2 linked regions of the Medicago truncatula genome follow. The protein of the gene in region 1 binds, or shares a complex with, the protein of each later gene. Links are inferred from orthologs where the notes say so. Each region holds a gene or a part of one and is shown on either strand. Other genes may lie near its edges.

Region 1 (16,209 bases):
TTTGCTCTTTTAACTTAATTTTCCTTCAAAATCATTATAGTGATTCTGCCTATTGTCTGCAGCATCCATTCATCACTTGCGAGTATCAGGAATCTTGTTCAATATCACGCGAATAAGGGTTCCAATCGAGTTTGTGTGTGAAGGAGATTGAGCGGAATTTTTTTTGGGAATTGTGAGAGAAGAAGACGACGAGGGCAAGGAAGAGGAAGAAGATAGAGAAAAAAAACTGGGATGTAAGAGGATGAAGAAGGGTTACGGCAGAGAAGAGATAAATTATTGATTTTAATGTTTTAAATTCATTAAATTAAGTTTTACTAAAGGAAATTCAAATGGAATTAAAAAATTTGGAAAATAAATAAAAAAATATCAAGTGCCACCTCATTAATTAATGCACAGTCAGCATGCCATATAAACTAATTTACACAGTTAGATGTGCTTAGGATTCAAAACCAAAGAATCTATAAATTACAATGAGGAATTTTCAAGCTTTTTTTTCTCACGTGGTAAACCAAAAGACCCCAAAATGTCATAGGGTAAAAGCCTATTAATCCTCTTTTCTTTTACTGAACAGTTGTATTGTAAATTTGAAATCGTGATGAATGGTTATACTCTAATACCCTAAAACCCTTTGGTATATATAAAAGAGAAAACAAATAAAATCCGACTAAATAAAATCTTTTTGTTTGTTATGAAAATAAGATAACAAAATAAAAACTTAACTTATAATCTAAAAAGTAAACAAATCTACTATAAATAAAACAAAAATATTTTGTTGGAGTGAACTCAAGTTTCTATTAGAAGTGATTCTTTGTCCACAAGAGAATAAGTTTGTTTATGACGTATGTTTGAGAGATGAAAGATGCCAAATGATTCAATTTCAAGCATGCACACTATGGATGACAGGAAGCCCAGCAACAACAGAAGCAGAAGCCTATGGACTATGGCATGCACTGCAGTGGCTATAATTATTGAACAATCATCATATTCAGATCGAAATGGATTGTATGCAGGTTGTGGAAGTTGTTCATTAAAACCTTGCAGCAGGAAGTATGATCAATAAGTTTAAGGAATTGTTGTTAATCAACACCAACTTTCGGGTATGTTTTGTAGGGCGATAAGCCAATGGAGTAGCTCGTTAATTAGGGAGGGCATCTCAATCCTATGCTAGTCCCTGTATTTTTTATTATATTCACCTTGTATTGAAACTATCATTATTGAAATGCATTAAGATGTTTTGCCAAAAAAAAGAGATCATAACATTCGGTGAAAAATAACAAAATTATACAAAAGGATAAAGGAGATATCATGCAGATAATCAATGATTGAACTATTGTCCATTCATATAGTTATAAAGAAAGACAATCGGACATGCTTTCCCTAGAATACTTTAAAAGAATGAAAAGAAAGAAATAAAACAAGATCTACAAAGGATAAGCGACAACTTTCTCTATCGGAAATGGCTAGACTTCCGCAATGTGACGAATCTAGATTTGAATTTTGGCTGGTAGAGAGATCCATATTTAATGTCTAATGCGTCTCAAATATGATTAGGTAGATCATTGCATAATTGCTACATCCAAATTGCTCCCACTTGACGTCTCTATCTTTGGAGGCTTTCCCTTGACTAGCTGAATTAATATTTTTGCCACTGAAATTTCAGCTATTGGATTTGTGAAACCCTTGAACTTTACCAATTTTAGATGCTCCAATTCTGTATATTTAGTTGCTTGAATTGAGCCTAAATTTGACTGCGGAGCTGAATAACTATTACGATCAATCTGCATCCAATCAAGTATGATAAAACTGTCAAAAACATCAAAATTATATGTAGCAAAATAGAGCATCAATTATTGCTAGGTCTTGCTTGCAAAGAATTAAACAATTTCCATAAGCTATTCCAAGAGTTTATGAAAATTAATTGAAAACAACTTATGAACATGTCAAAAGTTTTTGCAAACAGTCCCATCAAATTTATGCGAGTAGATAAACTCAAACAGTCCTACCGTTATAACAAGTTGCTCCAAGGCAGGGCATAATTTCAAGAAGGAGATTAAGGCATTGATGCTGTTTTCATTCTCATGGTTGTCAATCCACCACAACTCTTTCAATTTATAGAATATAAAACTTCCACTCGAAGGAGAAATTGATGGCCATATCAGTGTCTGCAAGAACTTGGAGTTAAATTATGCATAGGAAAAAAAATGACAACAATGAGCAATGAAGCACTGATACGTTGACATTTATAATAAATTGAGAAAATAAAATAATTAAATGTAACCATGTGTGTCCGTGTTCGACATTGACACATGTTCGACATCAGGCATACATTCAATTTGAAGTGTCAATGTTAGATAAACAATAAGCGACATATATGTATGATACCAGCAATAGTATAAGATGGGAAATTATTGAGAGCATACCTCAAAAGTCCATTCACATAAAGTAAGAACTTCAGAATTCTTTATGGTTAATAGTATTTCATCAAAATCTTGAGCACTCAAATCCCTGCAGCTTAGGCCTTGTCTGAAATCAAGGATGGCATGGCACAAGTTGAAATGAGATTCTGGCCAAATCCGTGGAAGAAGCCCGCGATATCGAAATGATTTAAGTTTAGAAGTTCTAAGATGAAGAGACTTCAACTGCAAGCAATCCAAGATTGTTAACTTGTGAAGCTTTGATTCAGATTCAATGAACAAAGATTGTAATCCACAACAATCGGTGATCGTTAAATTCTCAAGATGATCCAAATTCGAAACGATCGAAGAAGCTACCTCACTTGTCAAATAGCTTAATGATTTCAAATAGAGACTTTTGAATAGGAAAACAGAATGGTAGGTGAAGTTTTGCTTATCGAGCTTGAACCGAAGTTCATATTTTCTTTCAATTTTTTTCATCCCATAAGAAAAATCAAGAAGAAGCTTACTATTAGTTGCAATAGCTGCAAGGAGTGCATTGTCATCAGCAAAGTGAAATCGAAGCTTGCATGGTCGCTTTAACGGATCTAACTCATCAAAATTGGCTAGAAATTCAGCAACAGCACCAGTGATATCTTCCATAGTTCCATGTTTAACAAGAACATGGTTCCATAAGTCTCTCCACCTGGTAGATATGAGGCTGGTTTCAAGTGCATATTCATTTGGTAGAAAAGATACTATGCAGCCTAGAATTTCATCTGGCAAATATCTAAACAGATTCTGAACACTTTCTTCCATGGAATGGTAGCTCTAATGTTTCAAATTTGTATTAGGATATTAAGAGAAAGAATATGAAGACTCAAAATTAATGTACTTTGTGTTATGAACCCTGTGGATGTTATTTATCCAAATATTCAACCTTCCAGTCAATATTTACCGGTCGCGGTCTATTCTTCCTGTTGAATTCAATTCTATAGTATGGTCTATTTTTATATTACAATAGAATCATTTTTTTTTTTTATTACAATATGGTATGGACTATGAACCATCTCTGTTTAACTTTATTTGCTATAGCGGATATCTCAATATAATATATATTTGATTAGTGATTACTATAAGCTATAGATTACGATTCAATATATGATAATTGATGAGACTGGGTTTATTTTGGCAAGATATTACAATGACGTATGCTTTTTATATTTGATTAATTTAATAATATGTCCAAAGCGTGAAGGCTAAAAATGAAAATAAAAATAAAAATAAATTGAGCAAGAAATGAAAAAATATATATAAATATAAAAATGATTTTGTTTTCTTTCAATCAACATATATCTATAGGATATCCCCATGAGCTCAGTTGTCAGGATATTGTATATTATATGCAGGGCTGAAATTCGAACCCTGAACACCCCACATCTTCAGATTTAATTATGTATTGTGTGAGTTATAGCCACTACCAGCTGAAAAAAAAAAAAAAAAAAAAAAAAACATATATATTCTGGATAAGTTTGGATATTAATGCCATTTGAAATAATGTATACTTGTCATTCAAAGCGACTTTAATCAAATAAATAATATCAGTGACGTTCAAACTGAGACTGAGACCAATACTAATGAAGGTGACTTTGCAATAAGTGGTTTGTAAACTTGACCAATTCACAAAATCTATAATCATACATTTAAGATTTGCCAAGATGTTTCAACCGTAGTGGTACTATTAATATTAACCTAAAGTGACGTAAACATATCAAATATATAGTATATATATTTGTCTTATGCTAATTCCTACGGCATATGGAAAAGTTTTCCTTAAGTGAATTATTAATAAAAAAACTACTGATAAAGCAGATATTTGTTTAAGCTTGTTGTTGAAGATAATGGATTCAAGCGCAAGTGCTCCTATTGGAATTGATTTCTTATTGAGTGAATTTCATATCAATCTTTCGATGATTTTATTTTTGGGGGCCAATGACTTCATTTTTAGCTCTGTGCAGATCAAATAAAGTCAACAAAATTAACATCACAGTAAAGTCAATAAAAAACGCATTTGTGACCAATGTGACTTTTATGTTTCAATTTTTAGAACTTTCTTGTTTGGATAGTGTCATATCCTAAATTTTGACCATTTTTCTCTGTTTTTACACATTTTGTTCGTACTTTTAAAACCAAAAATGTCCGTCGTTTTAGACAAAATTTCGGCAGAGATACCCCAATTTTTGACCTAAGATTATATAATGGGGGTACATAATTGTGTGAACGAAGTAAGCACTAGAAAAATTTTATTTGGAAATGATAATTAATTTGGTCATTATCAAAAAGTGTTTTCTTGGTCCCCAAGTTTTGCTAAATTATTTTAGAACGCAATCTAGAATATTTTGGAACACAATCTAAAATATTTTGGTAGAAAATCTAATATATTTTAGTGCTTGATCTGAAATATATTTTGATACTCAATAATATATATTTATGTACTGAATAACATATTTATGTACTGAATAATATATTTTTGTACTCAATATGATATATTTTGGTAGACAATCTAATATATTTTAGTGCTTGATCTGAAATATATTTTGATACTCAATAATATATATTTATGTACTAAATAACATATTTATGTACTGAATAATATATTTTTGTACTCAATATATTTTGGTAGACAATTGGCATATTTTTGTACTAGATGAATTACTTGTTCCCAAAGTTTCTCACCTATTAGTTGTGAAGTTTCTCTATAAATAGAGGGCTCATACAATGCATTCAACACACCGAAAACACAGTTGATGATTCCTGTGTTTTTCCTCTCTTCTCCCTTCTTCGACTTGTCTTGACGAGTCTTTCTTCTTTTTCTACTCCTTTCTGTCCTTTTCGGTTTCAAGGTATTTATTTTTTATTTTATTTTGCTCTTAAGTTATAAAAAATGAAAAAAAAATTAGATTATGTTAAGAGATTTTGTGGTGATCCAACCTCACTACAAAATTCTCATGCTTTAGCTTTAGGTTTTATTTATCATTCAAAATAACAAAAACATCCAAATAACAAAAACCACCAAAAATATTTTTTTACAATAAATCTTGATCTTAAATCAAGTGACCGTCTTTTTATTTTATTTTTTTAATCAAATTTCAATCAACTTAATTCTACTTCAAGTCCATTTTCTTTTAAATTAAAAAACACAAACAGATTCTTATTTGCCACTTGACTTTTCATTTTAAAACCTTTTTCAAAACTAATAAAAAAACACAAAACCGATCAAACGTCAATTTCTACCCCGAACTACGAGGTTTTAATCCCTCATGGGTACGTAGGCAGAGGACCATGTCCTTCCAAATCAAATAAAAATAACCAAAAACATATTTCTTCTCCCTCCATTCTTTCACTTAGATTTTTAGGTAATAATTTTTCAAATAAGCAAATGAATTTAGCACAAGATAATCTAGGTAAGAGGTTCCTATGGAATATCATAGACGCTTAGGGTGCTAGCACCTTCCCTTTGCGTAACCAACCCCCGAATCCAGGTCTTAAAGGTTTTTACTCATTTTTTCCCTCCCACGAATAAAAATCGAGAGTTCAAAGATTGAAGGTTCAAAACCAATCAATGGCTTGATACCCGAAAATCACGAGCACAGATAGCATTCTATTATATAGCATGTCTTTTAAAATGATCGAAATAAATCTACATAAAAATATGCACAGATTTTGTAGAACCGAATCTGATGGCGTTTTTCTTGTTGGTCTTTTTGAATGATGATATTATATTGATCATTTCCTCTTGGATTTTTGTTTTTGGTGGAAGATGATCCTCTTGACTTGGTCATCAAGAAACCTCTCAAGTCGGACTAGTTTAGCATTATTAATTAATCATCTTGTGCCATATGGTCAGGTCACAGTGCATATCATGAAAACATGCCTCCAAAATGCATGTCCAATGCTATAATTTATTTTCAATCATTATTAAATTTAGGTTAGATTAGACAAGAATGAACAAATTCATTTTTTTTTTTACCTTTCTCTTTCAGCTTATTAAAATTAAAATACTATCAGTAACCAACATTTATCCATTTTGGCACTATAATGTAATGAACAAATATTGGTAATCACTTCTAGGCAATAAAAATATTGAATACTCCCTAAAGATTCTACTGCAGTATTATTGATCCCTCAATAATATGTAGAGGGACCAGAATACATGAAATAAAGAAGAAGAAAAAATAATAAAAATTCTAGAAGTCACTATTTGAAAGGGGTTCATGAACGTGATCAGCAATGAAGATATTATTATAGAGAATGGCAGCAGTAGCTGAACCAATGAATGGGCCAACCCAATAGACCCAATGATGAGTCCATGTTCCACTAACAACAGCAGGCCCGAAAGACACAGCTGGGTTCATTGATGCACCATCAAAAACACCACCAACCAAGATATTTGCACCCACAATACAACCAATTGCTAATGGTGCTACAACACCAACATTCCCTCTCTTTGGGTCTATTGCTGTTGCATAAACTGTATATACTAATCCAAATGTCATCACAATCTCAAAAACTAATGCATTCCACACAGACACACCAGAGGATAGAGCAAAACCTGATGTTTCCTGCATATATATATATATATATATATATAAAATCTAAATGTAGCACTGATATCTCAAATTCAACTAGTGTTCAATTTCTGTTTTATAGTTAAAATCCACTTTTGATCTTCTAATTATTATTGAATTAAGATTTTAGTCCACTCGTTCTAAATCTCAAAATTTAGTTCACTTCACAAGTTTTTGAATTTTTCTCAACTACCTGATTTTGAGCTTAATTTTTCTTATATGTCATCTTTCATTAACGACATGGAAATACATTTCATGATATGGTGATGGTGATTTAAATTAAATCTTAATATGTTATTATCCAATTCAACATTGCCACGTCATCAAATGTATTAACAAGAGAACACATCAACAAAATTAAACTAAAAAGTGCATTTGAGCCTATATTTTAAATTAGGTGAAGGAAATGCATGTGTAGTAGATTCATTTAGTTACCATTCCAGCAGTGCATGAATTGAGAAGAATGCAAGCAACAACTGCACCAAGTAACTGTGCAATCCAATACAAAATACTTCTCAAGAAGGTAATGTTTCCTCCAATGAAAGCACCAAATGTGACTGCAGGGTTCACATGTCCACCAGAAATGTTTGCACCAACAGAAACAGCCACAAATAACCCAAATGCATGAGATAATGATGCAACTATGAGACCTTCAGGAGTGGCAGCTCCATTGTTTGTAAGTTTATCTGCCACAATAGCCAACAAGCTATATATCTTCAAATTCTCAACAATTCTAAGGCATTGAAAAATAATTATCTTCTAATGTCACAAAATAAGTTTCTAAAACACTTATTGCTTACAATAAACTAACTAATAATTCGTTTTCAACGCTCTATCTTTTTATTGAGTGAAATTATCGTACATCTCACCACTTCATTTAAGATCTATTTCTAATATCAATCAATAATTGAACGAGTATAAAAAAGATAATGTTAAAAAATGTATATGTAATAATATGTAATACTCTTCAAAAAGTTATCTATATTACTCACTATAGGCCATGCCAGAGCCTTGGCCAGCAAAAACAAAAATGAGCATAGAGAAGAACTCTGCAAAGGCTGCTCTAATTGCAGCAGGATTGCTAGCCTCTCTAGGAGACCCAATTGCTATTCTGTAGATTGCCATTAATTAATTAAATCAACCTTAACATACAGAAACAGAAGAAATGTGTTTTTGTTAATTTTATTAATTTTTCTAAGAGTGAAAATAAAGTGTGAGAGCTAATCATTTGGTGTTTAAACAACAAAGGTAAGTATTAACGGCTAAAGAAACGGTCTCATTCAATTGTTTAAGGGTAAAGACCATGTAGAATCAGTTTATACAGCCTAAGAGTTTGTCACATGATTACTATTTTTGGCTCTTGTTTTGTGGCTGTGATGTAACTGCATGGTAAGATCAAAGGGTTGAGAATTTAGATAGTTAACTTCATGTATTCACCATTGCAACAATTTATCTTTATAAATTGACCGGCCATGATGTCATTGAAATCAACAATGAAACTTGACAAATAATTGACACAAATTGCACAAATTCATTTAGTTCACAAATTTTGGTATCCTCCTTACCCAACTACATAGTAATAGTATATTCCCTTCCTTCCAAGTTGTTTCTCACAAATACTAAGTGCACAATATTTACTAATGGATTTTGGAGGATTTTTCTTTGCAAAATTCGTTCGGTGCAGGCAACTCCAAAGGTCTAGTTCAGTGGTAAAAAGACAGACCCTCTTGGATTCGAGTCTCATTAATACTTTTGCAGAGAGGTAAATATACATACCTTTGAACCCGTCACTTTAAATTTCTCGACCACTAAAAAAAAATCACTCGGTGAAAAAAACTCCCTTCCTTCCAACTCTATAACCAGAAACTTTGGAATGAAAAATAATTAGAAAAATATTATTATTTTTTAAAAAATAATAAAAAATAATAATATCAAATTTTAAGTTTTTTTTTAACATATAGTTTCTGAAAAACTCAAAAAAATCTGATAAAGAAACACAAATATTTTTTGTTTTTCTGAAATATTTTTTAACAAATAACTAATACAATCTGGAAATTTAAAATTTGAATTTTATAAGTATAAATACATAAAAAAAAAAAATTAAGAACAAAATGTGGATATTATATGTTTTGTGCGTATAGAAGATCCAGCTGAGGGGGTATAGGAAAGATTTTTCAAATAATTAAGATAAAATAATAGTTGAGAAGAGACATTATCCAATTAAATGAAAAAAAAAAAAAAAAATAACAAGTTTCATTCTTGTCACATGACCACAAACTCCTAGCCACATCACAAGGTCTAAATTCTACTTACTATCCACTCAGTATTTCTTTCCATCTCAAAACTGAAGCTCTATACCACTCTTCTTCACCACTATGGTAGTTTCTTCTTGCTCTTTAACCTGGACTTCATCCTACTTATCCCATAAGGTGTGTTCATGATATATTTTGTTTTCTTCATTGCATTCACACTATGTTCTTTATACATAAACAGCTCATGTGAACTGTTTCAGCTAAACTTGCCACATTCAAATCATTTGCTTCGGAATACTACAACTTCATCTTCTAACAATGTCTCTTGTGCAATGGAAACAACTTCCAGTACAGAAAGTAAGAGCTTAATCTGTGCTTAAAATAACTACTATCAAGTTTACATTGACTTTACAATGAGCATGTCAGTGTTTGTGCTAATCAAGAATCAACACTTATCAGAAGTAATCTACCTTTATCAAAGCTTGATCTGAGTTTTCTTTTTATTTATTATTAGGACACTGCCAGAGAAGACCACTTCTGTTGGGTATAGGAGCATTAACAGCAAATTTGCTACCAGCAAATTCACTCTTAGCTGAAGGTATTCATAATAACATCTTTGTTTGGATATGTAAAGAGGAGTCACAATCTTCTGAAATTTTGAAATTCAATTAGTCCTTATTTTGTAGAAATACCAGACAGATACCGATCTTTTGTCGACTATGAAGATGGATATTCTTACATTTATCCCTCAGATTGGAAGGTAAAATTCATCATATTGGTTCACAAAATGTTATTCCGTTGTTTTCATATTAACTATCACATTTGAAATATTTGTCCACCTCATCATCTCTCATTTTAAAATATCAATGAAGCATTGATTAAGTTTTTTCACAAATATACATTTATTTATTGTATCTCAGCTTAGTTATATATTCGCGTAACTATATTAATAAGGGTGCTTCAGTATATTGCGTTGATTTTATCACATGAATTAGTACACTCAATGATCTTTGTAAGTGTTTGTGTAATGTTGATCAAAACTTAAGATAAGACAGAGGAATTAGTTTCAACAACCAAATAATTTTCTACAAGTTTGTCACTTGTCTGGGTGATCTTTTCCCTAGGAATTTGACTTCAGGGCACACGATTCTGCATTCAAAGACAGATATTTACAGTTACAAAATGTAAGGGTGAGATTCATACCAACTGAGAAGAAAGATATCAGAGATTTGGGTCCAATGGAAGAGGTGATTATGATTTAGATTCTGTCTTAATGTTATGGAGTCTAATTTATAGTTATACACTTAGCCAGTTTGCGTCTTAATCAGGTTATAACTGATTTGGTGAAACATAGATATACTGCACCAAACCAAAGACCAACAATATATGACATGCAAGAGGTTTCTCATTTCATTTCTTCTCCAATTTGTTTTTTTCAAAAGAATATTGTAGGTTTTGATGGCCAATGCATATTGACAAACAATCATTTCTGAATTCTGAATGCAGCGGACGATAGATGGAAAACATTATTATACAATGGAATATGTACTTACATCACGAAATTACGCTAGTGCCTCCTTTACAACACTTGCCATAGGAAATGGTAAGTAGTCTACCATCTCAAATCTCAGTGTGATATCCAATAAATGTTCTCTCAAAGAAAAGCTAACTCAATATATACTTCTCTGTCCTGTTAGATAATACAACAAGAATCTTCATATAGAAAAATGATTATAAGTGACACAGGTAGAAAATTAACAAAGAATGTGCAACCCAGATAGAGAGACAACATTGAGAAGACTAATTATTCAAATGAAGCCAATTTCTTCGAAATTACACGACTTCAGTGTCATAAAAACAGATTATACTGTTAATATACAGAAGTTCAACTGCATGAGTTTTCAATGCAATCAAAGGCTCCTTATGTAAACTAATAAGTAATAACATTCATTCTGTACAGGAAGATACTACACATTAATTGTGGGAGCCAATGAAAGACGATGGAAAAAAGTACGAGATCAGCTTAAAGTGGTAGCAGACTCCTTTAGGCTCCTTGACATCTGAAATGTTACATGACAATGCAAGACATGTTCCAATTTTTCCTTACACGTCAAGATTGAAATATATGTAAATTTTTGCAAGTGAATGATATCATCTTCATCTATATCATACAAATACAAAAGCTCAGTTTCTGTATTGCATACAGAGGCCATCCACTTTGACACATACATTGCATGTGAATATGATAAACTTTATAAATCACTGAGAATTACAGAAGGATGTAGGTTGCCATCAAAAAGTTTTTAGTTTATAAAAAAACGCTATAAAATCATGAGAAATTTTTTGTGCCAAACAGATCTATTTTAAAGAAATGAACTTATACCCTATTTAAGATATCTGATATATGCTCATGAATAGGCCTTGCCAAACAGATTATATAACAAGGCACTAAACTGTCTCACTCACTGCTACCTTCAAAGTCACATAACCATCACCACTTAAGAGGTGAAGAAAATTGTAATGAATATAATTTTTTTTCCTTTCTTTCTTGATGATACTAATCCAATTTCAATTGTGAAAGCCAAGACGACCAAGACACCAAATCCAAACAGACACAAAATACATGGAAGTTAAGGGCAATATAACTAACAAGTACTATACCACATGCTATCATTGGTTTTATACCTCATTTCACCTGAAAGATAGTTGTGGCCATGAGGGTAATGAATAGATAGAAAACTTGAGATGACAATTGCAGTAATAGTAATATAAAATGGAAAGAGATTAATCATAGTCCTTCATTTGATAACATGAAAGTTATACTCTAGTTATTTCATCAAGCAAAATAAAAATAAAAAATGCATTGTTCTGCTAAAGAGAAACAGTTCTTCTGTATAGCATTTCATCATCACTCTCCTCTTCCTCATCTGAAACTATGTCATTCCCGGGTAGCTCTAATTTCCCACCAATACAGAATGAAGGACCTATACTTTCGGTTTCGATATAATTGCCCTGCAATCTCTCTTCAAATCTCTGGTCACTACAATTCAGCATCCAATTCAATGAACATTTTATCCCCTTGGTCTTGAGCCTCTGGTATCTAGGTTTAATCCTAGATTCCAAACTATAAGTGAAGTATTCTGGAAACTCCACAAGCTCTTTTACAGGTCTCCCCATCTCACTTTTGAAGAAGTAATAACTGTTCTTCATGAGCTCAACTCGCAGCGCAACCAATTGAGGACACTTGATCACCATACTAGCCACATCCTGCGACGGTATTGCCCTACCAAGTAAAAACTCAACCGGTTTCATAATCACATTTTGATGAAGACTAACCACCTGTGGCATCTTCTCCACCACCCTCGCAAACCCTTCCGGATCAATCTTAAGCTTCAAACTGAAAAAATATTGCTGCGAAGACAATTTCGCCTTAAGAGGCAACCCAATAATCAGTGGATACTGAGCAATAACCGATGGCAAATATTCCTTCCTCAAACCAAAACTAATCAAACAATCAACATTAGGTTTCACAGTCTCTTCAAGATCATAACCAAGTAAATAAGCTCTTTTCTCCAACATCCTAGCTAGAATCCTCTTAGGCAACCCTAAATTAACCAAGTAATCAACAAGAGGCTTTATCATAGTACCAACTCTCATCCCTAAAAAATAAGGATATTGTGTAACCATAGGACCAATATCCCTTGGATTAACACCAATACTAACAAGATAAGCCACTGAAGTACTCATAGTACCTTCAAGCTTAAACCCTAAAAGTTCAGGATATTTTTGCAAGACAAACCCAATATCATCTTTCTCTACATCAAGTCCTCTAAGAAACTTAATAACAGGAGCAAGCTCAACAATAACACTAGCATGCAAAACCTGTGGATAATTCTTAATAAATTCACCAAGTTTAGACCTAGAAATCCCAATTTTTTCTAAATACCCTAAAACAGGAATCATGTTTTTTCTAACACTACAACCCAAAATCAAAGGATACTGATTTATATCATCAATCGTTAACCCTAATTTCTGAATAAACTCAACACGTTCCCTCATGACTTCAACGGTTGAAGGAAGCTCCAAATCCTGCAATTCATCAGGAATAATTCCCAAACCCTTGAGATAATCGAAGATGATGACCCGCGAAACGAGTTTCTCTTTGCGGCCTTGAATCACACCCCATGTAACAGTAGGCATCTCGTATTCCGGAAATTTGGAATCTTGGGTTCCATAGAGATTGAATAGTAAAACCCTAAAATTGTTTGAAATTTGGGGATTTGGAAGTGGATTTGGATTTAATTGGTGAGAAATTAGCTTGGAAACATTAACATTGCGTGATGAAAGTATATTGAGGAATTTTCTTCTTGTGAACATTGATTTGACAGTGGAAGTGAAGCACTGAGTGCAGAAATATGGAGTGTGATGAAAATGAAGAAGGTGACTTCAAGTGTGAAGAAAACAGTGTTCCTAAAGAAATTTTGAGGTTTCAAAAGAGTAATGAATTAAGCATAATTCACCACCGGTTGTGCAGCACGGGCATAATAGAGTGTGAGTTTGGGAGAAACCGACAAAGACGTGGTTGAAGTGTAATGTGGACGTTGTGTTCCATGACCGTAATCATCTTATATCTTTTGCATGTTGTGTTAGAGACTCCTGTGGACAATTTATTCAGGCTCAAACGAAATGGCAGCGGGCAAATATGATCATTTTGGAGGGGGATGCAGTAGCCTTACTCGAGGTCCTTCACTTTGCTGATGCTAACAGATGGGATGGGTTGTCTTTGAGTGTGATTCATCTACTCTAGTACAAGCTCTATTGTCTCCGGACCATGGTGATTCGGAATTCTATGTTATTGTTTCTAGTATTAGTTATCAGTTATCTTTACATTCTAACTTCAAGGTAAAGTTTGTTATGAGACAAACAAACATAGTTGTTCATACTTTAGATAGGGCGACATGTTCTTGGACTAGTCACCGTATTTTTAATTCTTATCCTTTTGAGTTTGATTGTTTTTTTTATTGGGTACTTCTTTTTGCATCTGTTTTTTTTTATTAAATTATTTTCATAATTAGGCATGATAAGATAGTGAAATTCCACATTAAATAGATGTAATGTAAGTTCGGATTTTCCTCAAACTAAGTTAAAGATATGGGACGAAGCTAGCAAAAAAATTACGCAAGGGTCAACTATGAAGAAAAAAATAAATATTTTCACATAGGAAATTAAAGGGTGAAATATATTTTTAGTTCCACAAGTGATCATTTTGTAGGTTTAGTCCTTCCGAAAAAATTATTCAATTTTTTCGTCTTGCATTTATGCTCTATAACAAAAAATTAAGGACTAAAATTAAACAAAAATATTTAAAACTTAGCTTAATAATCACAAGTGTTGTAGAGACTAAAAACAAATTTAACCAATATATGAAAACACTATTATTCAAAATTAGTTCATTATTTGTGCAGGAATTGACATTTCGTCTTTGAGACACATTTCGTCTTTGATATATAATGATTTTATGTTATATTTTATTACAAGAATCAACATTATTGAGATTTACATTGATTCTTTTGATGTTCCAACATACTTCATCTGCAACATTGTTCTTTACAAGTTTCATGTTTTTGGGAGACGCCATGATCAGCCGCATTGTAGATTTCGTGGACTTATTCGTGTCTGGTCTTTAGCTGCCACATTATCCCTCTATTGCAATAGATTATATGTTGTGGAAGTTTTGGTTGTGAGCTCCAGTTGAGTTTCATTCTTTTATCGAGATGGTTTATTAACGTAGGATTTTGCGGTTATGTTGGGATTTAAACACTGTTCAAATCAAGATTTGCTTTTGGGTTGTCGTTGTCATAATAATTTAGATTTTACTTATGAATTTTATATTGATTTTGGGAGGATACGAAAGTTTTATGATTTTCAAATTATGTATCTTCTATGAATAGAAGAACTCCTTTGTGGAAGATCGAATTCGAGCAAGAAGATGAACAATTAAAATTTAAATGATAATGATAATATATATATATATCCCCTGAAAAATAGAATTGGTTACAAGGTGTAAAAGTAATTAAAAAAATTGGATTGTGCGGCGTGGCTTATTATGATTGATGTATTGGAAGAGTATCTTAGAACGAGTGACTTTAGCATTTTTATAATTTCTAAATTAACAATAGTTATTTAAAAAAGTTGGACAAAATACGTTTTAAGAAGCCAATTTTATTCATAATTGACTTTTTACTAAACAAATTAATAATGTCTTTTCCAATATAAACAAATAGGTTGTATGTATTTAATTTGTTTATGATTATTTTCATGATAATTTTTATTGTTGAAATAGTTTTCTCTAGTTGTTATTGAGATCGAAAGTATCAAACCAATACAAATAAATTTATCAATTATGTAATACATTATTTACACATGTAAGCGCAGTAACAATGCGAGATAGGGCTCATTCAGCGAGTGCAAGGTCTTATAGACACTATTTCCAATTTACATGTTGTCACAAGAATGAAATGAATTAGTTCATTCAATTAGAATGCAACATGGGGCTCATTCATTTAGTGTATGATCATGGGAGAAACTCTTACTTGATCACAAGACCAACACCTCACATTTAGACACACACACAAGAAGTTAAAAAAATTAAAAAGAAAATGATTAAAGGGATATTGATTAATGTGACTATTTTATTTATCTTTTATTTTTTTTGATTTACGTGTGTGTGCTTAAATTTTGTGTCTAAATATTTGTGCCTATACAAGACTTTCTCTCATATAGGTATCCCTGCCATCACAAGAATAAAATGATTAAAAAAAAACGCAATTGCAAGCCACAAGTACAATCTGACTCATCTTTAACGCCCTTTTTTATTTCCTGATATTAATTAAAATTTAAAAATAATTATATTCATGGAGAATGTACAACACAAGG
Region 2 (16,297 bases), on another chromosome or scaffold:
ATACTCTCCTTGGCTCGGGTTCTTGTTGGGTTCTTATAAGTTTTATTGGCAGACATGTTCTTTATATGGCTTTAGCCATAGTATATGGTAAGTAAATGATTTTATCTTAGTTTCTGTTGGTGATCATGTTTTTATTTTATTTTATTTATAGCTGCTATATGGTAAGTAAATGATACTATTGTTTTCTTTAATTATTAATAATAACTTGTTTGTCATAATAAATATTATCTTTTGGTAGCTTCATTATAAATCATTATGTACAAGATGGATTTAGTGGTGTTCGTGCTAACAAGTACTCTAGATAATCAAAAAGAGAATTTTGTATAGAATGTATTAGAAATGAATATATTTTAGACTTTAAAGAATTCTTCACACAAATTTTAAGATATTTTTAAGGATCGGGTTAACAAGGGCCCCGGCACTAGTTAAGCCGCTAAAAATGAAAAGAAAAATGAAAATACACAATTTCAGATAAAACATTTCCTTTTATAATTTCTTAACTAGGGCATTAGGTGCACCCTAACATTAACATTTCCCTATTTTTAATACATTTGTTTCCTTCTTTAAATAAAAATTTGTTTTGTTGAGTATGTATTTAATATTCAACCATTATATGTAATGATTTTTTTAAATTTAATTATTTAAAATTAATTTAATTTTTGAATTAATTTTGCCTAACCGGTACTTTTTTTTTGTTGTGGTGGTCAGAGTTTGAACCTCAGACCTTGCATATATTATGCATTGTTCGTACCAACTGAATTAAGCTCGCGAGGAACGTCTAACCGGTGCCTAACAAAACTTAACATGCGTGCTGTTTTCTCCAAAATAAATATTAGGAAATCACAATGGGTATTTTGGAAGATAAATTTAGTGGGGTGTGTGTAGAGAAATAATATTTGAACATCCATTTGATAACAACTTTCTCTATCATACTCAAATTATTTTTACTTTATTTCTCTATTGTTTTGGTTTTTGTACAAATGTTTACTTTTCCTTTGTAAATTATGGTTGTGACATAAGTTGTAAATCAATTTGGTTATTCAAATAACACTTCTCATATGGTAAATATTACCAACTCTTTGAATTGCTACTATGTTCATCGTGCTAACTCATGCAATGTCCTTTTCACACACAAGAGTCTCTTATGTACTCTATACTCACTCATAACTATGACTTTTTACACAAACGATTATGTTGTGTACACAACAGAGATCCAAATGGAGTATTTACATATTCTTATTTTATACATGTACTTTATAATATTGTCATATTATACTTAAAGTTTAATCTCACGGGCTTAGTCTTCTTATTTTCACTCACTCATGAATTGATTCGTTTATTTTCTATTTCAAGATTTGATTTGGTCATTCACTGAAGTATTTGATTAATAGAAGGGACACAACGCAACAAAAGGGTAGAAGCTTATTCATGAAAATTGAGTGGATATATATAGCTGGCTCTGAACTTACACACACCTGTGTCGGCCACTTTATTCCAAAACACAGAAACATAATATAGTCTTGCCCCACGTTCTTTGTTGGATGGAGTGGAAGAACTCCCATACATTGCCTAATGCCTGCCATCCATAAAAAAAATCTTCTAACAAATGCCTTTAATGGATACAATCATTTTTTGGTATTTAAACAAATTTTATACATCATTTATTTATATTTTTTTTATTGTAGTATCTAATAATAGTAATCATTTAATCCAGTAAACTCAACACCCTACATAGATTATTTAAATGAAAGTTAATTTCTACTAATAATCTTATATATCATTATATTTTAATATTAAAAAAAGTGGTTCCCACTTAAGATTTGAATGTTTCATTTACACCTTGATACCATTAGGTATTTAAAAAACAATTTCTCAAATCATAAAAGGGAATGCTCCCTCTGCTTTTTTATACGCATTTATTGTTATTTTTAACATAAGTTAAGAAATTTTGTAAAAAAAAAAACATAAGTTAAGAAGAATTAATTTTGTATTGATATGTTCATTTTATATACAACTATTAAATTACCCTTTATGTTTAGATGTATTTATAGTTGGTTTTTATATTTCAAAGCAAAGTATTAAAATTAATCAAGGTTATGTTTGGAAAAAAAATATAAATGCATTTATCTAGTAACACATATTTAGAAACAATTCTTGCTATTATTAAAATGACAACGGTGAATGAAATGTATTTGCTTAGGTGGGGGGAGGATGATGAGGCTTGGAAGTGGAGGCGCCGTTTATTAACTTAGGAGGAGGAGAAAGTGCGGGAGTGCTGTGATTTTTAACTAATATTGTTTTGCAGCCTAATATTTCAAACATGTGGATTTGACATTTACACGCGTCCATCTAATAAGGAGGTGCCCTAAAAGTCAGTCTTTTTGCATCAGTCATCAACAACAACTTAGCATTTGACATTTGACATTTACATTTACATTAGTCAACAACAACTTGGCAGTTGCACACATAACTTAAATTGGAATAAGGAGGTGCCCTAAAAGTCAGTCTTTTTGTTTGGCGTCTGCTGTGTAATTTGGTACCAACATAAGGCAATTCAATTAAAAGACAAATTTTACAACCAAATGCTCAGTTATGTGTGGGGGTGGATATGAGATACTGAAAGATGCAGAGCACTTATTCCTCTCTTGTGATTTCTTTTGTAAACTTTGGTACAATATATCTAATTGGCTTAGTTTCCACATAGTGTATCCTGAACATGTGTCAGATCATTTAAATCAATTTGGCACCTTAGGAGACGAGTTTTTCCAAAGTATTCGCTCAACTTTTAACCTCATATGACCATTTTGTGTGTGAGTGATTTGGATTGAAAGAAATGCTCGGGTCTTTCATCAATAAGAGACCTCGCCTCATCAATTACTCGACAAAATTAAGCTTTAATCATACTGGTGGCTGAAAGAGAACCGTCCTAGCTTTGCTTTCTCTTACCATTTGTCGTGGTTGAATCATTTACCATGTTTAGTTATCTATCTGTAATGAGGTGGCTTTGTTCTTTGGTCCTTTTGTATTTGTTACTCGTTGTGTAGTAATTGTTAAAACAAAAACAAAAACTCTTATTTTCAGAATAAAATTTATATTAAATGATTCTTTAATCGGTGTTCTTAGGACACTAGTAAGCAGAACCTTTACTTTATAGGATAGAATACTACTTGATTGACAATACTGATTAATATTCCAGTTTTACAGCGTGCTTGATTCAGCTTGAATGTTGAAATTAAATATTGGATGAAGGTGCACAATGCATGCAACTGGCATTAGAAAATCACCCTTAATCTTTGTTTTTGTCACGACAGAGGTTGGAACTTTTTTTGAAAGGGACGGAGTTGGAACTTGAAGCTGCAACGTTCTACTTTGTTGACATTCGTGATGTTTTGTTTTTGCTTTTTTCTCTCAAATTAAATCATGTCTATATATTTGTCGCAGAAAGTTTTTCAAAATATAGTTGCAGAGATTGACCAAGCTCCATATAATTACTTGACTGCGGTAGAAGCATGGCCGTTTTATAAAATTTGGTGGTTTAGAGCGAATATACGGTTTGAGTCATAAATTATGAGTATATAAAAATAATTAAATTTTCAAAGTATAAAAATAATTTGTTTTGAAGATGATAGTTTTTACCACGTTAAGAAATGACCTTACAAAAATTCAAAATTCATAAAAAAAATTGAGTTTTTTATTTAATATTCAAATGCTTATACAAAACATTTCATACGGGGAAATATACTTACTTGGGCACAAGTCAAAATAAATATATTTGGGCATGCACACAAAACCATAAAAAAATATAAGAGAATAAAATTGAATAATGTCAATATTGTTAAAGTAATTTCGTACTTATTTTTTGGGGCATAGGACGGTCACCCTACTCACTCTACCTCAGATACGGCCTGGGCGGAGGACAACATTCCTTTGGTGAATAATCAGGTTTGATTTGCTTAAACTAATTTTTTTTTTTTTTTTTTTGCGGTTGTTACTAAACCATGTTCCGACTAAGGATAACTTGGTAAGGCGGAAGATTTTTCCTCAAAATGATCAATATTGTTCAGCAGGCTGCGGTTTAATAGAAGACATGGATCGCCTATTTGTTAAGTGTGATTTATATGGAAGAATTTGGTTTCTTATTTCAAGTTGACTAGGCTTCTCAACGTCATCTCATGAGAATTTATTGGATCAGTGTTACTGTAGTTTGTTAGGTTCGGAGCTATTCGAAAATTGTTAGCTTGACACTTAGTGTTATTTATACTTCTATGGTTTGGATCATTTGGAAAGAGCGAAATATGTGTATTTTCCAGCACATGGTGGAACATTTACAATAATTAAGTGAACAATTTAAGCTTCAATCATTCTAGTGTTTAAAATCAAAATATGTTGCTTTTAATTTTGACAACCATCTTTGGAGGCTGAATCTTATTCTTTGTTTAGTTGTTGTAATTTACTCGTTTCTTCTCTTTTGTTGCTTTGGTTTGATTTGTAATATCACTTTGTTTTTTTATAAATCTTTTCGGTACATTTTGTGCTAAAATGTCTTATCTTAGTTGGTAATATATTTCATTTGAACCTTTAAAAAAAGAAGTTAAAGTATTACCATCAATTAAATAAATAAGGGTCTTGTTAACGAGTGCTCCCGGGACACTCTTTAAGGATTTTAAGAGAATAAATTATTTCATAAAAAGTCAAATATTTTGATTTTCGATGCATTGATTACATAAATTTTCAAAAAAAGTTACCATATAAAAGTCTCAAAGAATGTCTCGGAAGCACTCGTTAACATTTCCCAATAAATAAATAAATAAATAATTAGAGCGTATTATTAATAAAGCAATAGTTAAAGTTGCATTGACCTTTAAACAAGATAAATAAATAAGAACAAAATTTCCAAAAATGGTACTTAAAAAGAAATAGACGGATTATGATTAAGAATTAAATAGATTTTTTTTTTGAAGAAGATAAAATGGAATATAAAATCAAAAGCATGGAAAATCAGCATAAGAAGTGCCAAAAATCAACCGAATAGATTAATTGAAAGCATCCATTGCTTAAATGCTCAAGAGGGTGAAAACATATTCTTTGTGATGGTTGAAGACTCATAAACACAATTTTGGTTTTGATCTTTATGATTGTCGGACGAATCCTTCGTATGTTTAGGATTTATCACCTTGTGTTGTCGTTATAGGCTCTTTATCTTCTTCCTTTTCTATTTCGGTTTTTTGTGACACTGTTGTGAGCCATTTTTAAGCACATCTTAGGTTTAACTTCCTTCTCTTTTTGTTTTTTATTATATATATTGATTCTCTTTTAGCTTCTTAAAAAAAAATTGATAGATTAAATTTGTATTTTAATACATCGTTGTTTTCTATGTTTCATTCCACTAAAAATAATATTGTTTAAGACATATCAGACACTAAATATTAATACATCTTTTAATCGGGATTCATTCAAATTTTGGCACACAATGATGTGATAATAATATAACTCTTTTGCTAAACTCAACTTGTTGAATTGTGATCTCCATAATTCAAACATATGAAGATGTTTATATGAATATTATCAACATTACTAGTTTTTTTTGACAAGATCAAGATTACTAGTTGAAATAGGTTTTACATATGTAAAATATTGTCTTTTTTATTGCTACTTGCGGTGGGTTTATTTTAAGGCTCCACATACGTTGTTACGAGTACCATTTTAGGTTTTTAAAATGGTCTTCTTCTTGAGGCAATACTTAGACCTTAGTTCGAATATACTAGAATATTATCAGTGTAACTGAACTCACTTAAAAACTAAACCAGTTCCTCGAAAAGTTCGAGATGCAAGTACAATTGAACATATCGTTCACTTTTTGACCTATTATTAGTATATTACGTAGTAATTTTTAATGGTTGATGTTCGTGAAATGGATTGGACATGTTCCCCTGGTTTTTCATGTAATTAAATTATAAAGTTCTATAAAACCTCTAAATAAACATTACTATAAAGTGCTAGAGTCTGTTAAGATTTATTATTCTATTATTAGTTGAAAGTTGATGTCATTACTGATGCAGGACCACTTCTTCATGTTTATCCGTCAGTTACGTTAGTAAAAAAATTTATCAGAATCTTAGGAGTGTTATTTAAACAATTAATTTGGTTGATAATTTGTGGGACAACATAATTTACAAAGAAATAGTAGGAAGTTGCACAAAAATCAAAGTAATAAAAAGATAAAGTAAAAGATAATAGAAATATAAGAGGGAAAGTTGTCACATGTTCAAATATCATTTTTATTCTATTATTGGTTGAAGGTTGATGTCTAGGACCACTTTTTTGGATGATTTGAATCACTTCTCCTTCACCGTCACCATTCAGAACCATAATCAATTTTTTTGTCTAATTTAAAATACGCAGTGCCGCACGTGGTAAATCAGCAAAATCATTTTATTTAGGAGAGCGAAATTTTAGACTTGGCACCGTTTAACACATATAGTTGCAGTTTACTACAACAATGAAAATTTTGGTTTGTTTATGATCAATGTTGGTGTTACGTTATTTGATTTAAAGGAAAAATTGAGTGATTATTTCAACGATGTTGCTATAAGAAGTTTGGTTAGTGTTGAGTATCATCCTCCGTTAATTGATTTAGATGAACACGTTCGATTCACTAAGATGAAACTTTAAAACGACGATGATGTGAAAACTGTTCCCTATATTTGATCAATATAGTTCCAAGGAACCAATCGAGATAGACGCTTCCTTATTGAGATCTATCAATATTTTCGGGTAAGTTTTATTGGTCTCAGGATATTTCAAGAAATTGTAGCGTGCATGGTTGAACCTAATTAAGAAACTAGCTTGCCTTGTCCATGATCTTGTTTGTGTTTAACCGATGTTTTTAATTTTTGTTGTTGTTGTTGTTATTGTTATTGTTGATGATGATGGTGATGAATTACATTGTTGAATTTTATTTAATGGAGTGTTAGTCATGTTTTTTCATGGTTTCATTATGCATATGGATTATGAAAACACATTTTGGATTCTAAAATTCAAATGGAGGTATTTTTGAAAAAAAGAAAGAAGAAAGGTGCCCAAAAAGTATGGGGAAAAAAAAATCACAACAAATTGGCATGTAATAAGGATGCATTCACTTCCTTAAAAAAAAATAAAAATAAATAATGCACTTGATATAAGAAATTATAAAAACTTAAATTATCCTATAATTTTAGTTCTTACTATTTAGGTTGAAATATCTATTCATAACGTCAACTTATAATAGTAAGGATCAATTACTAAACGTCAAATTAGAATAGTCAAACAAATAATTTTACATATGTAATAGTGGTAAATTTAGTAGTATAAATACCACACTTTGATTCATGTAAACGTGCATCATTTTTGAGAAATCAAAACATATCATCCTACTTCCTTCTCTCTTGATTTTCTTAATCTGATAAATCCTAGTACTATATATTATTTGAAGTATTATAAATTAAAGTAGTACTTAATATCATTTTATTAGTTCACTAATATCATAAAATAAGTATTTAAATATCTAAATCTTTAACAACACTCACTTTTTTTATACTAAAGGTGAAAACAAATAATAAGAGTGAATAAGTGAATAGTTTCACTACATGATGATATGCCACTATCTCTAATTGAAGGTTACAAGTGAAGACAAGACTTTATCTCATTTCTCCACCATACAACTAATATCATTCATCCTCAGTCTTAATTTCCAATTTCTAACCAATGTTTCTTTATCTTTCAACTTACGAAGAAATAAAAAAAAAAATGTACATTATTCAACAATAAATTTCTTCATTAGCACCAAAGAAAGAAACAAAACAAAAATGTTAGCCTCTGCAAGCTTAGGTTGTGGAGGACCAACATGCTCTAACATTCAGCAACCACCAAGGAACAGCTTCATGGCTGAAAATCATAACAACAGTGTAAGATTGATGATGGGTTGGAGAGGAAAACAATGTAACAGTAACAGAAGTAAAAGGGTAGTGAAATGCAGTAGTGGAATAGGATTAGGTGACTTCATTGGAGGAGATTTGGTTAAATTTGATATTGGACGTTGGCTTTCAGATGTTGAAGAACATAAAGCACTTGCAATATATACTCCTCATGAAGGAGGGTATGAAGGACGTTACTTATCGCGTCTTCAACGTCAAGGTTACTATTTTCTTGATCTTACAGCTCGTGGTCTTGGTGATCCTGAAACCACTCTCACCAAAGTTCACCCTGTTTGCCCTGTAAGTACATACCTTGTGTCTCTTTTCTTATTAATTTTATGAACGAACGAAATTGACCTAGGGAAAACATATTTGAGGACTAAATTGACTACCTAAAAATAGATTCGAGTATCAAAATGAATGATAAAAGATACTCTTGTGGGCATGCTTGCAATTTCGATACATTTAGAAACTATATAGTGATATATATAGCGCCTCACACATATTCAAGAACCAAAATAGTTGTTTGCTCCTTTAAAATACTTTTTCGGCTTTTAATGATTAATAGCTATTATTACCAATGTAGTACATACCAACACTTAAGATTGAAAGTGTGTCTGGCATGTGTCACTGTATGACATCAATAGTACAACGATACATGTGGTGTGGTTACATTCTATAACTTTCATTTTCTCAAACTGTTATTAGTTTCTACGTGTAAGTGTCAATGTCGTGTCTAATGAATGTTTCTGTCTTAGTGCTTCATAGATTATTACTCAAGTTTACACTACATGGAATTTTTTCATGAATCCCAGGCTCATTTAGGAAAGCAACCAATAGCAAGGTGGTATTTCCCACCAGAAGTTGATTACAGATTGGAAGCATTACCACCAAATGCCAAAGGACTGGTGGTGTGGATCATTGAAGCTAAGGTGTGGATTATGCTTTACTTTTATTACATTAAAATACCCCTCACATACTTAAAACAGAATGATTATTGCTTTTATGTTTTCTCATATTGAAATTTATTATAAGTACACCATCTCAAAATGCTTTTAGATGAAGTAGGGTGAATTATTTGTATTATTATTATATCTCTAGGACAATGCACAAACCCACCTATTTTTTTTGAATGGCTGCTGTACTAAAATGTTGCTTCGGATGTTGCTTAGGTTCTCTCCAAGGCTGAACTACAATTCCTTGCTCTGCTGCCAACACTAAGGCCTAATGTGAGGGTCATTGCTGAATGTGGAAATTGGTAGGATGCCAAATTTTCTAATAACCTTTTTGTAGATTTTACAGTTTTTATTCTTCTTTGCTTATTTCTTTTGATATTTATCAGTGCTCTCTGTTGCAAAACTTGTGCTTGAGGACTCCAATTTACTTCAGTTTAAATTTCCACCTTTATATGCAAGGTCTAGTTTGGATTAACATCTAGCAATAAGAGCTTCTCCACAATGAAATCTCATTCTAATGTTTGTTTATGTGAATGATCAGGAGAAAGTTTATGTGGAAGCCGCTAAACGAAATTGCTGGACTAACCACTAGTCAGGAAGCTTGATAGATGATGATGCATTTGATTTTCCAAGCATCAACAACCAAGTAGGAATATTTTCATCTGTCTTCAAGCTTGAACTTCCAACTCAAGGCACTTTGCAGATAAGAAAATACACCAAAAGATATATAACGATGAATGAATATCATTGTAAATAATTAGATTTACCACAACCATGAGTGATATGTACATTCTCAAGGTTTAATTTTGTCATGGCACAAACATTTTCATCAAAGATGATATTTCAAGAAATTATATAGATTTGCAATGTGACATTTCTAGATGTGAAAAAAACACTGGTTTGAATGAACTAAATGGAAGTTTTGCAGTAATTTGACCAACTATAAAACCAAACGTCCTTCGTTCTTTTTGTCTTCATATGAATATGAATTAATTTGCCCTCACATCACAATAGATTAATTATGTTTTGGTCCCTGTGAGCTTAGCTCGGCTGGTAGGGACATCGCATAATTGATTGCGCTTGTGCCGAGGTGCTAAAACTTTGCACGGGTAGAATCCCAGTCCTGATATGCAAACTAGTAACCAAAACTTTCATTCCGAGTAAACCATCAAAACGGCTCCTGATTCTGTAAGGTAGTGACAAGTTAGTCCCTAAAATTATTAATATTTTAAAAAAAAAAACCCGGCTTTGCTAATTGAACTCTTACTTTTATAACTTACCTTCATATTTAAATTGGTCTTCTACATTTAGTCCATTACTACAATAATTTCAATCTATCGAATTACGTTCGAAAAAGACTAATCTGCAAGACAATTTGCAAGGTCGAGGACATATTTGAATTATTAGCAGTCTTAGAGACTAACTTTGTGTCATTCTGCAAATCCTGTCCATCATTTTGATTCTTATGGCTGAGAATAAACTAATTTCAAAATACTATGAAACAAACAATAACTAATTAAACTTGTTTATTGTGGCATAAAATGCAGCTAACAATGGTTATTCATGAATCCTCGCGCCTTTATTCAGCTGTACCTTTATTGTCAAGGAATGTTTTCAAGGACATGAAATTTGGGAATATTGATGTCCCTAAGGGCACTGAACTTTGGATATTGATAATAAGTTTGCTAATGGAACTGCTGGTGCTTGTAAGCATCCACAAGTGTATATGCCATTTGGAGTTGGTCCAAGAGTTTGTCTTGGACAACACTTGGCTTGGCTATGCTTGAACTTAAGATGCTCTTGGCTCTTATTTTGTCTAACTTCTCTTTCTCCCTCTCTCCAAGATACATACATACTGAAGCCAGACCATGGAGTCCAGCTAGTAGTAAGAAAACTATAAACCTTTGACAAAATTTAGGGGCACTGTGAGTCTGTGACATGTGTGTATCATTCCTGATTGGTATCGTATGCGTATCAAACACATGATATGATCAGTTCTATTCTGTCTTCATCCTGTCTATTCTATCTTGATCATCAAATCGATCCTTAAAATATTTTATTACAATTGTACTCTATTTCATGAACCTAAGAATTAATAATAATCTTCTTGCCTAAGTGTACAAAAACATCAATGCTAATTGTATAATGTTGTTGCACTAATTTCCTATTTTCATGTTTCCAAAGTGGCTGGAAGTGGTGGCCCCTGTTTTTCATTTTTGCCTTAATTGGGACCTTTTTTTATATTTTTTCTTTCTTTTTAACCTATTCATGTAATAGATTGGTTTATGGCCTGTACTCTTCTTTATATATGTTTCTTTATTTTTTTGTTGGACAATATATTCTTCTTTCTCTATATACATTAGGTTTTTTGAATAGTTTGGTTTTTCATTTTTTTTAAACAATCCTCGTTATCAATGATTTGGACCTCAACGTTACAAATTCATAGTTATTTGAATACTAAAATGAATCAATATGTTTATTGATAATAAAATAAATAAATAAATAAAAAATTTCTAATAGATTTGCAATGTGTCAATTCTAGATGAGGGGAAAAACTGGTTTGAATGAATTAAAAGGAAATTTTGGAGTTATTAGATCGATTATAAAATCAAAAGGCATAAGCAAAATAGGAATATTGCATTTCATCATGAATTAGAGAAGAAATACTCATAGGCATAGACAAACACATAGGGGCCAGACTAATATTGATGCTCTAACTAAGCTGCCATGACAAACCCAATCAACTTGCCTCCTAACAAAATCTAGCTTGTAATGACTATGATCGGCTATAATTTTGCGACATTTTTCAAAAGATTGTCTATCGATCTCATTAGATGGTTGCTCAACTGGGCCCCTCAAATTTCTCAACCAATCAGGTCGTAACTCTCGATCTTTTTTTTTTTTAAAAATATAGGCAATTTTGAAGGGCTTATTGAACAACCTTCGTCTCATAATTGTATAGATATTAGCATCCACTATTACATTGCTAAGCAGACATGAGTTTATAGCCCTAGTTTTCAGCAGTCTTAAAGGGAAAGGAAAATAGCATAGGCCTCACCCTCTGCAACAACCGAGCATTGAGAGCATTTGTCTAAGATACAAGTGATGCACTAATATTTAAATTCACCCTTCATGAGTCATATAAATCCCAAGCATATATTTTTTCCAAAACCAATAATAATATATAGATTTAGCTGCGCAATAGGTGGATCAACGTGCATTAAATATGAATAAATGAAGTATCAAACTAAAATCTTTGTCTTTTTCTTGTTATTTTAGCTGAGCAGATCCATATACTTATTCCTATCATAGCAAATTAAATCTCCTTTGACTTGAGTTTACATAGAAAGTTAATTTTTAGCTATGAAGCTCCAGTTTGATTTGCAGTTTTTGAATAACTGCAAAAATATATACTTGGCAGTTTGGAAACATGAAGAAAATTGGTTAATTTTCTTGTTTCATTATTGATAACTGCAAGAATATATACTTGGCAGGCTTTGAATCAACTGCAGTTGTTGCTTCATGGTGTCTTATGTTATTGGCCTCAAATCAAACTTGGCTAGATCGTGCTCGTGCCGAGATACTAGAAATTTGCAGCGGTAGAATCCCAGATTTTGATATGATTTCAAAGATGAAGCTGGTAAGGACAACTTTCATTTTGATTAAATTTTCAAAATGGTTCTTGATTTTATAAGTAGGTAACAAGTTGTTGAGAAACGAACGATAACTAAGTTTGTTGTGGCATTCAATGCAGGTGATAATGTTTATTCATGAATCGTTGCGCCTTTATCCACCTGTACCTTTATTGCCAAGACACACTTAGGAGGACATGAAATTCGGGAATATCGATGTCCCAAAGGGCACTGGCCTTTGGATATTGATACTAAGTTTGCATACAAATCCTGATATTTGGGGAGAAGATGCCTACAAATTCAACCCAGAGAGATTTGCTAATGGAACTGCTGGTGCTTGTACTCATCCACACGTATATATGCCATTTGGAGTTGGCCCAAGAGTTTGTCTTGGACAAAACTTGGCCATGCTTGAACTTAAGATGCTTATAGCTCTAATTTTGTCCAACTTCAAATTCTCCCTTTCTCCTAGATACATACATTCACCTGCATTTGGCCTTATTTTCAAAATAAGCAATAAAAGAACCATTCATGTTTGTTACATCCTAAGACAGATTTATTCCCTATGTGAGAAATTTTAAGTTTTACTTAAGGGGGGATTTTCCAAGTGTCAATATTATTGATTACTTATTTTTCATTTAATAAACGTTTTGACTTTTGACACAATCGGAGTTGTATTGGGTCTTAACAAAAGAGGTTAGATTCACATAAATTGTGACCGTCTAATAATGAAAATATATTATTAAAAACCAAAAAAATATAAAATGATGGTTTGATTTAAATTTAATGAAAATGTATTATTAAAAACTAAAAAAATAAAGAAATCAATATATAGAAAAGATAAAGTTATGTTTGCCTTCATCCGAATTTTGGGGGGGGTCTGGTTTTTTGTGTAGGCTCCTGAGATTCATAGCTTATTACTGAGAGGCAGAAAACCAATTTCCAAATGATTCAACTCTTGTAGAAAGGAGAAATCTCTAAAAAGGTTATATACTCTCCATTGATTAATCAAATGTACGTATTTTTCATCATTAAGATTTTATGCAACGTATATATATTGTTGTAACATTGCTTTTGTTAATGCATTTTTTATTGAAATGTTGTTGAATATATAGATTTTACAATAGTTATAGCATCGGGGAGTGATCTAACGTATAATAGAAGAAAAAGGAGGATATAAATAATGGTTCATCATGAGGAATACATGGATGTTGCAGACTCTGATTTTCTCCATAATAACAAAGAACAACTTACTGATGATGACTCAGAATTTGAAACTGTGTTTGAGAATTACTTTGCATTCTCCGTTGCCAAGAATCGCTTCTTTGCCCGAAAACTGCCGCTTCATGTTGTTCTAGGTTCCGGAAAAGGTATGCTCGCGTGTTTCTTTTACATTTCATGAGAAGCACCGATACAAAGCTCATTTTGAAACTCTTTATTATTAGCTGAAATTCGTATGATTCTCACTAATTTATTTGAGTCTCGTTTCTTATTTGATGTGGCTCATTACTAAAATGGTAAGGTCGACTTTAATTTCAACTGTTCTTGAAAAGAAATTGTTGTAAAGTGTTTGCTAGCAATCATGTGCATTCCATTCATTTTTTCATACAATGCAAGTTTCATTGATGTTGTTAAGTGGGATTCATATTTACTAATAAGTTGGCAAACGCTCGAGCAAAGCGAATAGAGCTAAAAGCACTACGAGTGTTGTGTATCAAAAGCGACAACCATATGTTTCAACCAAAAGGGTTGGGGTACAGGAGCAAAGCTCCCTGCACAACAATAATCAATATGTTGTCGGAAACATAGGCACAGTTGGCCAAACTCTATGATTGATCATTGTGTTCCTATGCATCTATTTATTCGTTTTATTTAGAACCCGATTTGTTAATCGAACTGTTGCAAAGTAAAGTGAATCTGTTAACCACATTTGAGGGAGTTACTTGGCAATTATAGTATTATTTTACATTGAACAGATTTTTTTCTTTCTGTTTTGGTTGTGATAAAATTTATGTCTGCTTATAGCTGCTGATATAATACTATGGAGAGAGAAGAGGATCACAGCAAGCATTCTAGCTGGTGTAACTGTCATATGGTTAGCATTTAAGATGATGGAATACACTCTGCTTAGTATCATTTGTGACTCTCTCCTAATACTATTGGCAATGTTGTTCCTCTGGACCAATCTAAGGTCCTTGATTGGCATGTGAGTTTAATTCACTTTATACTCAGTTACTTAAGTGCTTTTCTCTTTTTAATGAATGAATTATACATTTTCTTTTTAATACAGATCTCGACCTAAGTCATCAGCATTCATCATACCAGAAGGGATGGTTTTTAAAACTGCTATTTCAATGACAAAAAACATTAACAAACTACTCAAAACATTTCGAGTCCTAGCTTCCGGACGGGATTTCAAGAAGTTTCTTTTGGTGCCTTTCAGCAACCTTTTAAGCTTTTTGCTTAGTCATCTTGTCACAGTATCATTTGGTTTTACCTGACAAATAAATAATCTGCAGGTTACATGGACATTAGGAGTTGTTTCACTTCTTGGCATTTGGTTCAGTGTTCCTACTATATGCTACATAGGTCAGCTACATATAATACTGTCAAATTATAATCCAGTTTTTACACGGTTAAGGAATCTACAGGTGCTGAAGAGATCAATACCACTGAATCAAGATTTGATTCATTGGTACTAATCACTTATCTGCAGCAACTGTATGATTAATTCCTTAACTATAGGGAATCCGGGTAATAGCCGGAACCAAGCAGCTATTTATCATGATAGTGACATATTCGACACTAAGATATTACTGAAATTCTAGTTAGTACTAATATTATTTCTCTTTTGCTCTGTTGATGTAGCGACTGTGATAATGCTGACAGTGCCAGCAGTGTATGAAAAGAATCAAGATATTGTAGATATTATTTCTGAGAAGGCGCTGATTGAATTAAATATTCAATATGCAGAGTTGATGAAGAAATTTTTTGGGAAGTCCCGACACTTGCAAGATAGAGATCTAGAATAGAGGTAAAACAAGTCTATATGGTGTCGATTCAAATTAGTACTTCATGGTGATTTTTTTTTTTTTTTTTTTTTATGTTTTTCTGCCTACGCTGCAAACAAGACATGCACCAAAAAATGTTGCTACACAGTTCTTCCTCAAACCTGTGTTCATCACAAAGGATGAAAGAATGTAGAAAATGAACTACAATGTACATCTGTACTGGGAAAGCCAAGTCTTTATAGATACATTGATTCATGTTCAAGAGTTCTTAGGGGCATTGCATGATATGATAGGACAAGGCTTATATTGTTGTAAAGAAAGCCTTTTTATATGCCAATCAATAAAAAGTGTAAACTAGTACATTTGATAGATTCACATCAACTATCGAGCCTTTACACAAGCTTTATATAATCCAAATATCTCATCTTTAAATTTAGTTTGTTAAAAAGACACGATATCAAACACGCAGTCGGAGCTTTCAAGCAAAAGAGAACATCAATTTTACAACAATATCTATATTTCACTCATTTGAGGCATAAAAACAATACCTAGAACTTAGATCCTAAGGACAACAGTTGAACTTTAAATAATTATACTGCCTTCCAAAAATTACAAAACTGAAAGCAAATTTAGCTGACATAAACTACATACAGTTTTACATTAACAAAAATTGTTGGAGAAATAGATCTACAAATTCCGGTTACTGAAACAGAATGGGAAAAAAAAAAAGTCTCAAGAGTTCACCT

What was found.
Region 2: photosynthetic NDH subunit of lumenal location 1, chloroplastic (region 1) and NAD(P)H-quinone oxidoreductase subunit N, chloroplastic share a complex: the UniProt entries of both Arabidopsis thaliana proteins name them as parts of the chloroplast NDH complex. The link is inferred for Medicago truncatula from reciprocal best matches to the Arabidopsis thaliana genes PnsL1 and NdhN.

The regions. Positions count from the first base shown.
Region 1 is NC_053042.1:55,802,236-55,818,444, forward strand, and holds photosynthetic NDH subunit of lumenal location 1, chloroplastic, read left to right. Parts: upstream 1-9,268; 5' UTR 9,269-9,396; coding exon 9,397-9,450; intron 9,451-9,533; coding exon 9,534-9,630; intron 9,631-9,787; coding exon 9,788-9,871; intron 9,872-9,959; coding exon 9,960-10,033; intron 10,034-10,397; coding exon 10,398-10,520; intron 10,521-10,601; coding exon 10,602-10,673; intron 10,674-10,779; coding exon 10,780-10,876; intron 10,877-11,233; coding exon 11,234-11,337; 3' UTR 11,338-11,532; downstream 11,533-16,209. Other genes in the region: F-box protein At2g39490, read right to left, coding at 1,557-1,778, 2,004-2,162, 2,421-3,212; aquaporin TIP1-3, read right to left, coding at 6,641-7,015, 7,457-7,707, 8,014-8,146; transcription termination factor MTERF4, chloroplastic, read right to left, coding at 12,145-13,650. UniProt on the Arabidopsis thaliana protein: NDH shuttles electrons from NAD(P)H:plastoquinone, via FMN and iron-sulfur (Fe-S) centers, to quinones in the photosynthetic chain and possibly in a chloroplast respiratory chain.
Region 2 is NC_053044.1:31,878,179-31,894,475, forward strand, and holds NAD(P)H-quinone oxidoreductase subunit N, chloroplastic, read left to right. Parts: upstream 1-7,706; 5' UTR 7,707-7,844; coding exon 7,845-8,252; intron 8,253-8,767; coding exon 8,768-8,884; intron 8,885-9,124; coding exon 9,125-9,210; intron 9,211-9,449; coding exon 9,450-9,513; 3' UTR 9,514-9,801; downstream 9,802-16,297. Other genes in the region: uncharacterized protein, read right to left, coding at 16,284-16,297. UniProt on the Arabidopsis thaliana protein: NDH shuttles electrons from NAD(P)H:plastoquinone, via FMN and iron-sulfur (Fe-S) centers, to quinones in the photosynthetic chain and possibly in a chloroplast respiratory chain.